2 linked regions of the Oryzias latipes genome follow. The protein of the gene in region 2 purifies or fractionates together with the protein of the main gene of each other region. This does not show direct contact. Links are inferred from orthologs where the notes say so. Each region holds a gene or a part of one and is shown on either strand. Other genes may lie near its edges.

Region 1 (7,800 bases), on a different chromosome or scaffold from region 2:
ATCATTTTTTAACTACTAGTATAGAGTTTTACCACATCACGAGACTACACACTAATTTACTCAAGCACACTGGTACAATTTCCATCCTCATACTTTGTACTGCTTTATTTAGCTTTGTTTACAAAGTAGCAACCTAGGATGTTTAATAAAAAACAGAATTAAAATACACATTTGTCCCCCACTTTTTTTGACGTGATTGTTGTTACTTTTCAGGAGAAGACGGAAGTTGAAGGCACTCTTTTTATTTACACAAGGTAAAGAAAAGACCTAAAGTCTGTGATTAGGGTTTATTTGAGGTCATCCATTGCATTCAATTATTTTATTTTTATTTTAATATCAATTAGGGAGATAATGTACCACTGTGTGTAATACCTTGTTTTTTCCTGAGTTTTGATAGTTATTATTTTTGTCATTTTGCATGCTGTTTTAATTCAGATTGGCATCTCCAAGACACGGATTTACCATTATGAACCGTCTCAGCATGGACAATCTGACAGAGCCGATCACAAAAGACTTGGACTTTCAGCTTCAGGACCCTTTCCTGCTTTATCGCAACGCACGATGTAAGTCAGAATATATAAAAATAGCCCACAGATTTCCAGTTTCTGTCCTATTCTTTCAGCGTTTGCTGTGCATGACAGTCTTAAATACAATGCAAGCTGCTGCATTACATATTTTAGTTATTGCTGTGACCCTCTTCCTCTGGAGTTTATTGCATAAACAGATGCATATTATTAAAATCCTAATATATGAATAATAATAGCAATTAATTAATGGTTGTTTACATGTGTTTCAGTATATTTATTTTCTTAGCATAGGTCAGTTCGGGCCCACATAACCAAAGATCATAGTTAGATTTTTATGGGTTTTTTTTATGGACCTAAAATGTTTTACTAAGCCATAATTACTATGTTTATTTCTTTTGAATAGCACACAAAAGTGCAGGGTATTAGAAATGCTAAAAGAATGACATATCTTCAAAAAAAATGTTGTTGCGTCAAACGCAGCCGTATTTTTATGACTAAAACATTATTTTGACATCAAATAAGATAGGAAGGACCACGTTAGTGACTGGTGGATGAATCGGTGACTCCATTTAAGGTGTTTCAGCAGAGTTATTTCAGTTTGTTTTATCACCAACTCTCTGAGACCTGCATCGGGCGCTCTCACACACAATCACATTCTAAAGTGTGCCTGTGGGACAAGAGTCTGACAGCACCACAAAAGCAGCCAGCTGAGATTAGATACACTTCCACAGTCACTGATAATCTAAACACACGCTAGCTTAGAAGTAGCTGACGAGCACAGAGAAGGCTCCTGTCGTCTTGGCCTCCCCGTCATATACAATGACATGCAGCCGGATCTTTGTACTGAAAGAAATTGTTTGGTTTATTCATTTTTGTTATTTTACATTTACTTGGAACATGGTGAAACAGAAAGCACAATATTTAGACTTTCTATTCAGAAGCTAACAAACACAAAATAGCCGGTTTGCGGTAGGAGCATCTGCAACAAGGAACAGATTTGAACCGACTCGCTTGTGGGAAGCACGAAGCGTAAAAACACTTGAAACCAGTAATCAGGTTACAGCTGATTAGTGTGTCTGCTGTTACAATGAACAGATTAGATTGGTTTATGTAAGTAAATGAATGGTGGGTTCAAAGCAAACGTTATGGTCAAGCATAATGTTAGTTTGCTCTGATTGCTCTGGTTTAAGATGAATAATAAAAGAGCTCAAAAGTAGACATGAGTAATGGTTGTTATCAGACTGATTTTTATCAGTGTGTCTCCTAGGATTTAGAGGAACTGTTTGGCTTCAAAGAGACTCTTTGCGTTTGTAGATGTGACACTGTAGAACCAAATTTACAGAGCGGCCATAAGCTAATGTACATAAGAGGATAAAAAGAAAGATCAAGTGAGACCCATCAAAAGTAATACCCCCTACCCTATAATAGCTGCTCAAACTAATGTTTACCAAATTTCTACATAGATGACATAACGAAAGAACACTTTTAGTAGACAGAAAACGTGGTTTTATTGGAGAAAATGTGATTTATAGCTTGCTGGCATTAGTGTGCCAGTGCATTGTGACCTCTTGGTGGAGGGGTCGTGGAATCTTATCATTAGATAAACATGTCGGCCTAAGTGCTGCCGCAACTTCCTGGAACGGTGGTTGGCACAAAGTGGCAGCCCGGGCTAAAAATGAACTGCGTGGATAGGTCACAGAACAAAAATGTTTGGACAGAACAAAATGCTATTTTTCCAGCCTGAAGCCTTCAAGTTTAATTTTTTTTATAAGTCTTTACAGCTGTTTTTTTTTTTTTAGTCACACCAATATTCTAAAAAAAAATTAGTCTTTCAGCTCTCAATTTCAGTATACAGTATTTTTTTTTCCACGGATCTGTCTTATTTTCTTTTAATGTTTCTGTTCAGTGTTTTTTTTTATTTTCTAAGAATATAAAGAAATATATAAAGAAATAAAAATAAATGTCTCACATGAACATTTTTGACAGTATTGATGTTTTTCAGCAGAAATTACTTGAATTCTTTTCTCTAAATCTAAAATTGATATGCAGCATTGTTTAGTTTCTGGTTATTCTGTTGGTCATTTTATTTATATTTTGTGTTATCAGCTGCACCTTCACGCATATGTAGATCTGAGCCGACACATCCTGAGACCATTTTTAATGTGTTGTCTGTAGATTCTTACCTCCAGGTCGGACGTATGTATATCCCAGGTCTCTCTCTGACACCAACAAGCCCTTAAATCGGACTTCAGGTTCCTCCTTCAGCCTCTCATGTTTCGGTTTTCTCTGAAACAGACCTCTAATCATGGTTTCTGTCTTTCTCCACTTGCATAGAAATAATCTTGAATTAAAAGAATCCACAAAGTCCTCCTGCAGGTTCGATAAAACAAAAGTGTTTCTTCTTCAGAAGAAGGTGGTGCAGGATTGGTTTAGTCAGCCACAGGAACGGTGGTGCTCCCTCCTTTCATTTGAACCTGAGAGGCAGCCGAGATGCCTGCATTCCAGCCGAAGATGCAAAATCGACACAATAATCTCGTCTTTCCTCCGAAGTTTCAGAAGCCGTACATGTCAGTGTCTACTCCTCCCACATTGTCATGATTCCATTCCTCCAAACACAGTTAGTGTGTTTCATGTAAGGAAAGCTCTATAAGGATGTGTTTTAACTATTAGAACAGTCTAACCTCCACCAGGAAACAGTGAGAATGAAATGATAGTGGTCATCATGACAAATAGTTGAACATTTAATCAAAAACGTGACCTCATAATGCAGCCATAAACTGTCTCTGGCAACATTAGTCCTTCAAAAATGTAAGTTATAGTAAGTTTAAGCGGAATAAAAGTCTTAAATTTATCTTAAGGTTCCCTTTGTGTTGCAGCTCAACACAACCACCGTGTTGCTAAATCCCATCTAAACGTGCTTTTTCAGATACATACAGATAAACACGCAAGTCCCGTGACTTTTACTGTAGAGGAGTCATCACATATGCTCACTGTTTTGATTAAGTCCGTGTCCCGAAGGCTTTAAGGAGCGGATCTCGCAATCACAGAGTTTTGCTCCAACTTTGAAGTACAATCTCTGGTGTTATTAGTTAAACACTGCCGCTAATTTACTCTTCCTGGTTTCTCATTCGGGTGGATTTGGTTCTTGGCTCCAGATTTTAAATACTCCTCTTTCTTTTTCTTCGTTCTCTTCAGTGTCCAGTGAGTAGAATGTATCCCCCCGCCTCCTCTTTTTCCTTCTGCTCAGATTTTGGTACTGGTGGTTCCTTTTCCCGCCCTCCTGTGTCAATTTTGCTCTTTTCAGCCTTTTTTGTGCTCAGAAAGCCACCGTAGCTGTTTATCTTTAGTCAAAAGCATTTTCTGCGATTTTTCAATCGTGTCCTCTTTACTTTTGACCAGTCTGTTTGTTAGTTTATAGCTGAGGTGTTGCAGGACATGATCCTGCTTCAGACATGTCACAGTGTAGTCGTGTTTTTAGAATTCATTACATGGAGATTTTAGAACGACGTGTTCCTTTTCTGAAGGACTAACACACCTGGTAAAACTTCCTTGTTTCTCTCTCAGCGTCTTGCTCATTTTTGTTTTCTATTTTCCGGCTCCCTGACTTCGACTGTGTTTCTCTGTCCCCTGTGAGCACTCAGTTGCTCCCACTCCACCAGTCAGTCCCCCTCTGCAGTTGCTTATTTGGTCCCGGGCTGATTTTTTCCCATGCTCAACTTAACTCTGTGTGTGTGTCTCTGCCTCCCCCCGCTGTCTGTTTCCTTCATCCACAGTGACCTCTGCGGTCGGTCGGTCTGTCTGTGGGAGAATATGGGCTGTCTGTGAAGCTCTCGCTTGAAAAGTTCTTCTGTTTCCTGTTTAATGCTGCATCGTATACAAGTTTAGAATGAGTTTAGAAAGTATATTAGCCTCTTGTGACCTTGCGTCCACATACGATGACATCACATTGTGGGTTTTATTTTCACTGTAGTTCATTCTGATTACCTGTGGGCCCGTGGCTACGAAATAAAAAAAGCTATCAAACAAGAGCTCGGGTCTAAAGAGGTTAAGATGTCAAATATTCTTTTTTCATCTCAGTGTCGGATTAAAGTTATTTCAAGTATCTTTCATTTTTTCTAAACTTGTAATTCTTTCCTTCTGTTTAAGTTTTCTAACATTTTACTCATAAACTCTTATTTTTCTTAAAGGTTTTTAACATTCAAAAGGCAGAATTTCCTTGTAAAAGTTCAATAAATGTTATATGAATGGAACTTATTAAGGGGTAAAAAGCAAATTACTATTTTCCTCACAGATGTTTTTATTTCATGCTGATCATTTTAATTTACACTAGGAAATAAAATAAAATAATTTTGATTTGCTAGCTGTCTTACTAGCTCTCTGATGTGCAGAATTCACATTTTTCCACATGCTCACTGAACATGTTTATGAAGCTAAGGCGCTTTCAGAGGCACATGTTCAAACGTCCAATGGGACTACAGGCTTCTTTCCACTTGATATGGAAACAGAATGATTTCTTCAGCAATGCTAATAGTTACATATCTGATGTCTGTTTAAATGTCACAGCATCAAAATTCAACTTTTGAAAATCTGCTTTGATTTGATTTGGTTGTAGCGGAAATGCTGCATCCATAAGCTCATTCTGCTGTCTGCTGACCTTTTTGTAAAATTGCATTTAAGAAAAAAACAGCTGGTCTGTTAACATGTTTTTGTTTTGTTTTTTGGCTGTGACTGTTCTTTTATTAGTTTTCTTTTTTTTAGTATAATATTAATTCAGAAATATAAGTCTCTTTTCTGTTTTGTCCTTTCAGTGGTTATTCATGGGATTTGGTTCTATGATAAGGAAGACTGTCAACGTGTTGCCCAGAGGATGAAGATGTAAGTAGTTTTGTGTTTAACGTGTTAATCTTTAGCAAAGCTGAAATTGTGTCGTGTTAAAAGAAATAAATATTTAAATGTAGTGATTTTTTTTTTTTTTGCGTCCTTCCAGTCTGACCCATCAGGAGCAGCTCCTGGCTCATAACCAGGATGGGTGGTTGTCACCAGGAAGAGGAAGAGAAGGAATAATAGGAGCTGGAAAAGGAGGAGGAAGCAGTAAAACAAAGCCAGTCGACATCATCCAGATGTTGACCAAAGCGCGCAGCGAATTCGACAAAGTATGCTACCTTCAAAGACTGAAAGATTATCAAACGAAACATCAGTTATCAGTACATTTTTGTCAAATAGATCAACAAAATGTTTCGCTTTGTTCATTTCTTTGTTGTAGTTTTTCTTCAAAATAAAAGAGCATGTACAGTATTTCCTCTTTGTTTTCTCAGGAAAAACCTCCCTCAGAACCAAAAGAGATTGGTGGGAGCAGTGTCCTTTTTGGAAACCCCAACCTCATCAAACCAATACCCGTTAAACCACACACTCAGGTATGATTACGTTTAGATTCTGTGTCTGAGTTCCAGTTTTTGCTTAAAACATTTTTTTTTTATGTAGCTTTTGGTCAGCTTTTATTCAGTGAAATACCTTATTTTTGTTTGGTTTCTCTAACTGACATCCATTACTTATTATATAATATTATATAATATAATATAATATAATATTATATTATATTATATTATATTATATAATATAATATTATATAATATTATATTATATTATATTATATTATATTATATTATATTATATTATATTATATTATATTATATTATATTATATTATATTATATTATATTATATTATATTATATTATATTATATTATATTATATTATATTATATTATATTATATTATATTACACATTTCCTTTTGTTTAAATCTAGAGCAGTGAGGGTTCTGAGCCCAAGGCTCTTTCTTTGGCGACCCTGTTTGGATCTCAGCATCACACACCGCACTCCTCTATATCTGCTCCCCCTCCTGCTGGGAGGGCTGCCACAACCACAGGAAAAGTCTCTCGCCCCCCGGTGGCTCGCACTTTGACCTACGACGATGCGGTCACCTCAGCTGTTGGACACATTGCTCTTGCCGGGGGCTCAGATGGAGATGTCAGGCCACTACCTGGTGAAGAGAGTGGAAACGTTGTAGCTGTTCTGCTCAGTCCCTCCCCCTCCACTCAACCTCTGCAGAACGAACCCCAACACTGCCCGGCCATTGCAAAGCTGATGCAGGGCCAGAGGAGTGTTGGAGGCGGCCTGCAAACCGTCTCTGAGTCCCCGGAGAACCGACTGTGTGATAATGGGGTGCCCCTGGACCAACACCACCACCTGTATCATCATCACCATCAGCAGCACCACCACCATCATCATCATCACCAGCAGCAGCAGCAGCTTCACCATGATCCAATAAAGAAGCTTTTTCAAAGTCATTCACTTCCTCAACTGGCCACCACCTTTTCCTCCGCTGTCCGGCCCACCGCTTGTTGCTCCAATCCACCCCCTCTTCAGGCTCACTCTCACCTCTCCCCCCATTTTGTAGCAGGAGAGTCTGCCTCGTGCCCCCACCTTCAAGTACAGCAAAGCCAGCAGCTGTTTTTCAGACTTCCAGAGTCCCAAACAGAAGAACAGCACAGCAGCCAAACAGCAGCAGCTTCACTGGGAACAGGTGAGAAATGGTTTCTGCCGCATCACATAAACAAAAGCACGACATCCCAACATGTAAAACGAATTTACGTATATAGTAAACCCATTTTAAAACAAATTTAATACTTAATAGTTGGAGCAAATTTATAAAAATGAGATCACCTTTACTGACAAGGATTATTATTCTACTTTCAAAATGTTAATTCATCAATGTTTTAAGCAACAAACACTCCAGGTGTTTGATGCCAATTCAAGAACGAGTTAAATGGGGCTTCTTCAACACATTTAGCCCACGGTGTTCACGCTGAACAATCAGGGAGGGACTTCTTCTTTTTCTTCTTTTTTTCTTTTTGTTCCATTTACTAGTGCATGTCCGGACTCCAACTGTCATTATTCATTTCTCATGATCAGTTTTTCAAACCGTGGGCACCTCAATGAATTATAAGGGTCTCCATCCATACAGAGTCCCTGATTGGTCAAAGTTCGACCTGGTTTTACTTGCAAGATGCATTCAGTAGCCACGTACATAAAGCCTAAAATTGGTCGTGACAACTTGTGAAGCTTCGTGTGAACGCAAGAGTTTGCACATTTACATAGACTGTTCATTTAAAGTGGCTGCTTGAATGTTAGTGCTGAGGCCGATGTGAACCCAAGACCTTAACTGTCGGCTTCAGTTTCAGTTTTCAACGGAATGATGTAAAAGATTAGATTT
Region 2 (7,800 bases):
AATGTTCACACGATTAGCATGCTAGCTGCTAATAAGTCAAGATTTACCATTTCGGTACAACGTACTGTCGTTGGACTGAAAAAGCTGAATCCTAGTCTTTGAAAGGTTTCCCTGCCCATGTTCTTCTGTATTTTGTACTTGAATTCTGACATGTTTTGGGGAGTATTGAAGCCAGCCGATCATGATGATCTGGCTGTTGTTGTTCGGGGTAGGCCTCTGATTGACTCCCATTCTACTTAAACTTAAAGCACTTTGTTATAGGTGGCAAGTAAGTTTCTACTGGGACATGAGAAAGAACGCCACGTCCTGTTAGTAGTGACATTTCTGCTTTAGCTCCTTCGAACTTCTTTGTAATATTAATTAGTTTATTAGCTAAAAATGCTATTAGGGCGGACTAAGTGAAAGGAAGGCACTGCACCATCAGATATTATCTTCTTGGCTTCAAGTAATTATGTAACATGGTAAGCCAGCAAATTCTTAGTCTGTGGGTGTGGTTATTATTCCTTGTATTTTGTTTTGTTAATCATGAGATTGACTTGGTTTTTAACAGTATAAATAAGTCAGAGAAAGCCTATTAACCTAAGGAGATTCTTTACATTAGATTAAGTCAAACTGGCTTTCTGTTACTATATATGTAAATGCTAAGGTACTTTGTTGTTTCTTAATGTTCCAAGTAAGAACTTGAAGTACAGTGTCCACCCACCACTTTGCTCCCTAATGTTTTTCTATCCAGATAAACTAAAGTGAAATAAAACAACTGCAGGTTAAAAGACAAACTATTCCGAATGCCCAGATGTGATGAAGTGCTATAGATGTTTTTCTTAACCGGTCACCTTTGTCGTTTAGGTTTCTTATAGACAGTCGGTGGTTCAAACAGTGGAAAAAGTATGTGGGATTTGACAGTTGGGATATGTACAACGTTGGCGAACGCAGCCTCTATCCAGGACCAATTGATAACTCGGGGCTGTTCTCAGGTAAACCTGCTTCTTGTAAAAACATAAACATTTGTTGGTTTTCATTTTTACTTTATTCGTGACAGATAAAAGTTGTACTCGTGTTTTTCTCTTTAAAGACCAAGAGACCCAAGCTCTTAAAGAGCACCTCATAGATGAGCTGGACTATGTTTTAGTGCCCACTGAGGCGTGGAATAAGCTTGTCAGCTGGTATGGCTGTCTGGAAGGCCAAAGACCCATCGTCAGGAAGGTAATGCCGTAGAAATGGGGCTGTGTTATAATGCTGAATGTGTTGACAGCTCTTCCAAATGTCTCCTTCTTTTTCCCTAGGTGGTTGAGCATGGCATGTTTGTTAAGCACTGTAAAGTGGAAGTCTATTTGCTGGAGCTCAACTTGTGTGAGAATGACAACATGGACAACGTTGTAACACGCCATTTTAGCAAAGCAGATACTATAGGTGAGGTCATCACAATTTTGACTTTAGCCACGGGTAAGCAGCGTCTCCTCTCACTGTTTATCATGCTTTTTATGTTTTCAGACACTATAGAGAAGGAGATGCGGACGTTGTTTGAAATCCCATCAGAGAAAGAGACCAGACTCTGGAACAAATACATGAGCAACACCTATGAGCAACTGAACAAGCCAGACAGCACTGTACAGGACGCCGGGCTTTTTCAGGGACAGGTAAGGAAAACCAGCAGGATTTAAGTCACACATGTAACTGCTACGCATGTTTAATGCACTCCCATAATCAGTCCTGAATAGGGGTGTGTATTGGCAAGAGTCTGGCGATAGGATACGTATCCCGATATTGTCATGGAACACATTTGTTCTCTTTCTTTTAAAAATATGACTTAGAAAAAACTCTACCTGAATTTCAATACGTCTTTCATTGTAATAAAATGGTCAAATTGAGTTTATTTAATGATCACAATGTTAAGTTCTGCAACTGTATCTCATATATAAGTCGCTTTAACCCAGGCAAATTTGTAGTGCTTTTGTTTTGATAACTTAAAATCTAGAAAGGGAACATTCAACATTTTCTGATTTCCACAACAAAATATATTTCAATATATTAAAAATAAAGAATGAATGTGCCTTAACCAATAATGTTCCAAAAGTATGATTGGGGAAATAAAGCGCTTTTTATTTTAAATATATCTTAATGTAGCTTCTCCAGTACTTTGAAACGGTTCAGAAAAAATAAAGGTAAAAACAAAATACTAATTCTTTCAGGAACAATAAAGTGTGATGATGACGCTGCGTGACAGGATGAAGGAGAGTTGTTTTAATGTGGCGAAGATGCTTTGTTTACACATCTGCACTGCAGCCACGCTTTCTCATGCGGAAATAAACTAACGCTTATCGCCTCGATGTCAGCATTTTTTCGATCAGGTCGCTAAACTAGAATCCATTGCTGGGAGGTTCTGCAGGCCCACTTTGGTTGATGCTAAGTGCATTATCCTATCAGCCGCTGTGCAGCTGCACTGCTTCAGTCGTTCTTATCGGAGTCCACTACAAAGCACCACAATCCGCGTTACCATGTTGATACGGGCAGCAACATGGCACAGAGCTTCAGTTCGGTATCCATCCCAAGTAAAAACTAAGTAGTTCATGTCTCATAACAACGAAACAAGCTGCCTCCAGCTGCGGTCTTCCTGTTTTGTGCAGAGTAGAGCTGCTCAAAGAGGCTCCTTGTTCTCTGCTACCAACTAGCGGTCGGAGGGCAAAGTGGAAAACAAGAGTCAGGCACTAAAGGACGTTCAGAAATAATTACATAAAAATCGTCCTGGCAGCATTTTGAATTGATACAAGTATCGCCAAATTAACTATCGCGATATATTACCGAATCAATTTTTTCTAACACCCCTAGTCCTGAAGTGCAACATTTGACTGAGTCCGTTGGGAGAGGTTGGACATAAAGTTGTTGCATCTATCCTGCTGCACTGCATTGTAAGCATTTTTTTATTGTGTGGTTCTGCAAACATTGATGGTCGTGGTTTGAATCCCGTCTTGGATCTTCCTGTGTGGAGTTTGCATGTTCTCCTCATGCATGTGTGGGTTTTCTCCGGCTTCCTCCCATAGTCCAAAAACATGTTTCTTAGGGCAATTTAGGTTACTCTACAATATCACCAGGTGTGTGTGAGTGAGTGTGTGGCCTGCGACAGACTGGCAATCCGTCCAGGGTGTACCGGCCTTCGCCCAACGTTAACAGAGACAATTCCAGCAACCCGAAAGGGATAAAGTGGGTTAAGTGGATGGATGATGGTCTCGGAGAACAGAAAAGGGATTCTTCTTTGGTTCACATAACTTTGAAGTAGAGTCAAACACGTTTTCACATCATGCCTTAAACATTAATTGTGTTGGTGTAAAATTCTTTTGCATTTTCAGTATTTAATTTTTAAAAAAAGTCTTGTGCGACAATAAGTTTATGAAGCCCTGCATATTTACACAGGTGCTTGTGATCGAGCGCAGAAATGAGGACGGCACTTGGCCCAGACAGGCTTCACACCCCAAGTGAGTAAACGGCCACTGTTTTAGTTGGTGAAGACAAATGTGTTTCCTCCAGTCCCCCAGCTGGACGTGCTTGAATGTGCAGAGACATTGTTAGTGATTTTGGAATCTACAAAGTTAGAATTTGTTTTTGTTTTGATGGTTAGATCCAGTACAACGCCATCCAGAAATTTCTCTACCTCCCCAAAGCTGTCTTCAAATTCGTCCATGAGTATATCACCAACTGCAACCAATGGAGACAGCAGCTGTAGCCCTGGATACACACTAAACAACAGCAGCACTTCCTCTAGCAACAGGTACCACACTTCCTCCTTCACCTCACTTATCTTCAGTTGCAAAGTTTGGGAATATTTGTACATTTTGTTACCAATTTCTAAGCGAGCTAGTATGAAATGTCTGAAGTTATGTAGCTATGTGATCATATGATAACCATCCATGATTATTTTATTTGTTTTTATTTATTTGGAAGGTTTTATTGGTTAACGTTTTAGACACGTTGCCATCAGGGTTCACTCTTTAGAAAAAAGAACTGGTAAAGCTGTTTTTGATGTTTGAAAAGTATTTGCTTTTATTAAATATTTACTAAATATTTCATTATTTATGCTCTGCTTTGGAAAGCAGAGCATAAATATGATGATGTATATCTTTTTTTTAAGTCTGTTGTATTTGATCATTTTTCCCTTTATCTGTATGAATAAACAAAAGATTTTCTTTACAAAGTTTAAGTTTATTTGGTTAAAACTGGAGCATATTCATTCCTATGAAACATTGAATCAGTTGTAAATGCTGGAAATCTGAGAAGTGCCAGAGTTTGAGCCTGCTAGTCCTTTATTTTTGTTTTTATTAACTTTGTGAGGTTTTTGTAACCTTCGGGGAACAAGAGTAACAGATCTTTTCTCCACACAGGTTGGGGAGCTACAACTCGTATAACTCGTACAGCTACAGAGAATCCCAAGCACAGCCTGGCCTTTGCGGTCTCAGTAATTTGGGGAACACATGCTTCATGAACTCTGCTCTCCAGGTATTTAAAAACTGAAATAAAAAACCTATTAAACCAATGTCTTTTAATTAAAAAATGTTAAAGCAATAGCATTGTTTTAAACCTTTTGAGTAATTATTATTAACTTGTTCTGAACTTCCCCTCTGCCTCCAGTGCCTGAGCAATGCACCTCCCCTCACAGAGTACTTCCTGGATGACCAGTACGAGGCAGAGATTAACCGTGAGAATCCGCTGGGAATGAGGGGCGAGATCGCCGAGGCCTACGCAGACCTCGTAAAGCAGATGTGGCTGAGCCGCAGCAGTTATGTGGCACCACGGACGTTTAAAGTGAGTTTTTTTTAAGCAGCTATTTCAGGGAAGGATGTCGAAAGGGCAAAAATGATTATGAAGTCACCGTTGTGGTTTGTCCTCCTCTCCAGACGCAGGTTGGGCGATTTGCTCCTCAGTTTTCAGGGTACCAGCAGCAAGACTCGCAAGAGTTGCTGGCCTTTTTGCTGGACGGACTCCATGAAGATCTGAACCGTGTCAAAAAGAAGCCTTACCTCGCCCTAAGAGATGCCGAGGGCCGTGAAGACGAGGTGAAACTCTTTCAATACTCGCATGATGGTTTTTTTCCCCGGGTTGTAACCAGCTCATCTAGATGAGCTTTGATTCTGATTGAAGATGGTTGTCCACACAAGTTATCCTGGATGGTGTCAGTAACAACCAATTGGTGTTGGCAGATGTTGTCCTCCTCAGTGCAGTGGTTACAGAAACGGGTGATGAAAGTGCTCCAGAATTATTCTGTGTTTGTGTGTCCCCTGTCGCCCCCCCACAGAATACGGCTTATTCTTCTTTGACACCTTTACCTGAAGGAGAACGGCTTTCTGTCATCAAAACCATTCGTTTCCCTCTGAGTCTTTTTAATGCACGATGTTTGTAATTAAGGGACGTTCCTTTACAATTAAAGCCGGATTTAGTATCTGATTCTACTGACATCCAGAATGCTAGAAAACATTCAACCCATTGTTTTCCTGTTTCTCCTTATGTCTTCGTTAAATTATCTTCACCATTTTTTGCCGCTTAACTCTAACTCTCTCTCTCTTTAACTTTATAATTTTCCATCTATTTTAACCGTTCAACTATTAAAGTTCAGCTCTTTCAGCTTTTTCCAGCTGTGACTTTTGATCCTTCAAATCCTTGAACTTTTCCAGATATTCCAGGATTTTTGCCTCCATGGAAATCCATGGGGAATCCTTGGTGCAGAGGCTCCCTGGTTCGAGACCCGGCGCTGGCATTTTTCACAAAATATCTTTTTTGTTATTGTGCTGTTTTCACTTGATTTATGGTCAACTTTGATCATTTCTTTCTTTCTTTAAATTATTTTGTGCCAATTATTACCCTTTAAGTTTCATTTTCATTCAGCAATATAGCATCAACCCTGCATCTTCTTCTGGAAATGCAGCTCCTAGTTTTCCAATTGTTCTCTCAAAAACCACTTTGGCCTCGTGAACCCTCATTTGAAGACGGCTTCTTTTGACCTCTTTGCTGCCCTTGATCTGTTGTTCAGAAGTCCTCCTAACCTTTATTTCCTTCCTCATCCTCAGTGTTCAAAAGCTCTGGTGTAAGAAATGATACGAATGGATTTCTATCAAAAGGAAGTGGAAAGCTCGTGACATTAACCATTGTAAACACTTTGTTTTGGTTTCATTCTGCCTTTTCATGAGTTGCATGTGGAGTTTTAGTGTTGCATTCGAGATGCATTTCACTGTGTTCTGCCTCCTGAATGGCTGATCTTGTCCAACAACTTCTGTACAGAAATGCGGCACGTGCAGCTCGCTGGAGTTACATTCCTCTTCATCAAGATCAGACTTTACTTAACATTTGATTATTCTGGACTTATTTCTCTGTGAATGTTTGAGCTTTGAAAGTTTAAACGAGAGAGAAAAGTGTGAGTGTTCATTTCAAATAACCACTTGAAAAATGGTGATTTGTGTGACTCCGTTGGGTTGAAGTTTCTCCTCAGGAAATGGGCTTGTGTTTGTCTTTGGTCTTACATCTTGTTGGTAGGAAGTTAGTGGCATCTTTGCAGCTTCAGAATGTGAGGTCCTTTTCTTTAAGCTCCAATCTAATTCCTGACCTTGTTCTTATAAACCTTTGGTTATTGATGCCATCCAGACCGTGTCATCAACCACACTGGCCTCCACCACAGAGGGTCTTGCTGCAGCAATTTGGGAATCAAGCTCCAACTTCTCCTTTTTCTTCTGTCTCTTTTTGCAGTCCGACTTTCTCCTCTTGAGCCTCCAAGTCCTCCTTTTGTTTAAGATGAAATGTTTTCCACTCATACCGCTTTCTCAACTTTTGCTGTCAGACAGAGGAATGCTGGAGACAAATGCAGCACGACCACTTCACTTACATCGCACCAATGTCACATCATGGTGCTGTGATTTGTCATCATCATCTTCAACATCAGATTTAACATTCTTACCCATCACAAAATTATTTGTGTTCAATCTTTAATTTTATTTTTTATAAAAGCATTTTTTCCAGACATTTCTAACTGAAGGCATCCTTGTTTTCCTCACTCATCTTCAGGAAAATGAGGAAGCAGTGTGTTGAGAGCTTCAGCAGGACTTTGACGCGACCTTCTGAACATTTTGAAATCTTTGTGGATTACATGAATGTTTTTTTTTCCTCTCTGTCCTGTTGAAGCCTTTCTGATTGCTGTCAGAGCTGGATCTTATCGTTCCTCTAGATTCCGGTTCAGCAGGAACATCTTGAATGTTTGTGTCATTAGTTTCCACAGCAGCCCTTTGAGTTTTCTTTATTTCTCACTAAACGGCAACCCTCCGCATTAATCCAAAGTCACCGTCCATATGGGGAGAAATGACCATGAACTGCACTCGATGCCAAATGTATGATGGTGCCAGAGAGGCCATTTATGTCCACCTGGTGCGTCCGTGGTGGGAATGTGTTGTTATCAGACCTGAGGAGGTTTATTCTGGGACATTCATCTTCCATTTCTACCCACTTTGGTATCTAAAAAAAACCAAAAGTGTAAATTCAAAAATGATGCAAGAATTGGATGTGTTTTAGTTTGGAAAGTCTGCACTCTCTTATGGAACCAAAGGAACAATTTCAACTTTGTGTTGTTCTCCTCTGATTTCACACTTTGTCTGTAGATTAGAAACTTATTAATGTCTATTTTCCATTGTTGTGGAATTGCAGATTGTTGCCAAGGAGGCCTGGAAAAACCACCGCTTACGCAACGACTCTGTAATAGTTGATATTTTCCACGGACTCTTTAAATCCACGTTGGTGTGTCCGGTGTGCTCCAAGGTGTCGGTCACCTTT

What was found. Proteins that work in one complex are often made in the same cells at the same time.
Region 1: the proteins of usp4 (region 2) and dcp1b purify together in Homo sapiens (co-immunoprecipitation; 3 studies listed by BioGRID and IntAct, with this or other methods). This does not show direct contact. The link is inferred for Oryzias latipes from reciprocal best matches to the Homo sapiens genes USP4 and DCP1B.

What each region holds. Positions count from the first base shown.
Region 1 is NC_019881.2:14,483,201-14,491,000, reverse strand, and holds part of dcp1b (mRNA-decapping enzyme 1B), read left to right. Parts: intron 1-213; coding exon 214-254; intron 255-435; coding exon 436-563; intron 564-2,710; coding exon of another isoform or gene 2,711-2,834; exon of another isoform or gene 2,835-4,473; intron 4,474-5,335; coding exon 5,336-5,402; intron 5,403-5,514; coding exon 5,515-5,680; intron 5,681-5,842; coding exon 5,843-5,941; intron 5,942-6,332; coding exon 6,333-7,110; intron 7,111-7,800. Other genes in the region: voltage-dependent L-type calcium channel subunit alpha-1C, read right to left, coding at 2,711-2,834. UniProt on the Homo sapiens protein: May play a role in the degradation of mRNAs, both in normal mRNA turnover and in nonsense-mediated mRNA decay. May remove the 7-methyl guanine cap structure from mRNA molecules, yielding a 5'-phosphorylated mRNA fragment and 7m-GDP.
Region 2 is NC_019863.2:3,084,022-3,091,821, reverse strand, and holds part of usp4 (ubiquitin carboxyl-terminal hydrolase 4), read left to right. Parts: intron 1-846; coding exon 847-974; intron 975-1,072; coding exon 1,073-1,203; intron 1,204-1,283; coding exon 1,284-1,410; intron 1,411-1,491; coding exon 1,492-1,637; intron 1,638-3,408; coding exon 3,409-3,470; intron 3,471-3,613; coding exon 3,614-3,763; intron 3,764-4,373; coding exon 4,374-4,488; intron 4,489-4,620; coding exon 4,621-4,794; intron 4,795-4,886; coding exon 4,887-5,045; intron 5,046-7,674; coding exon 7,675-7,800.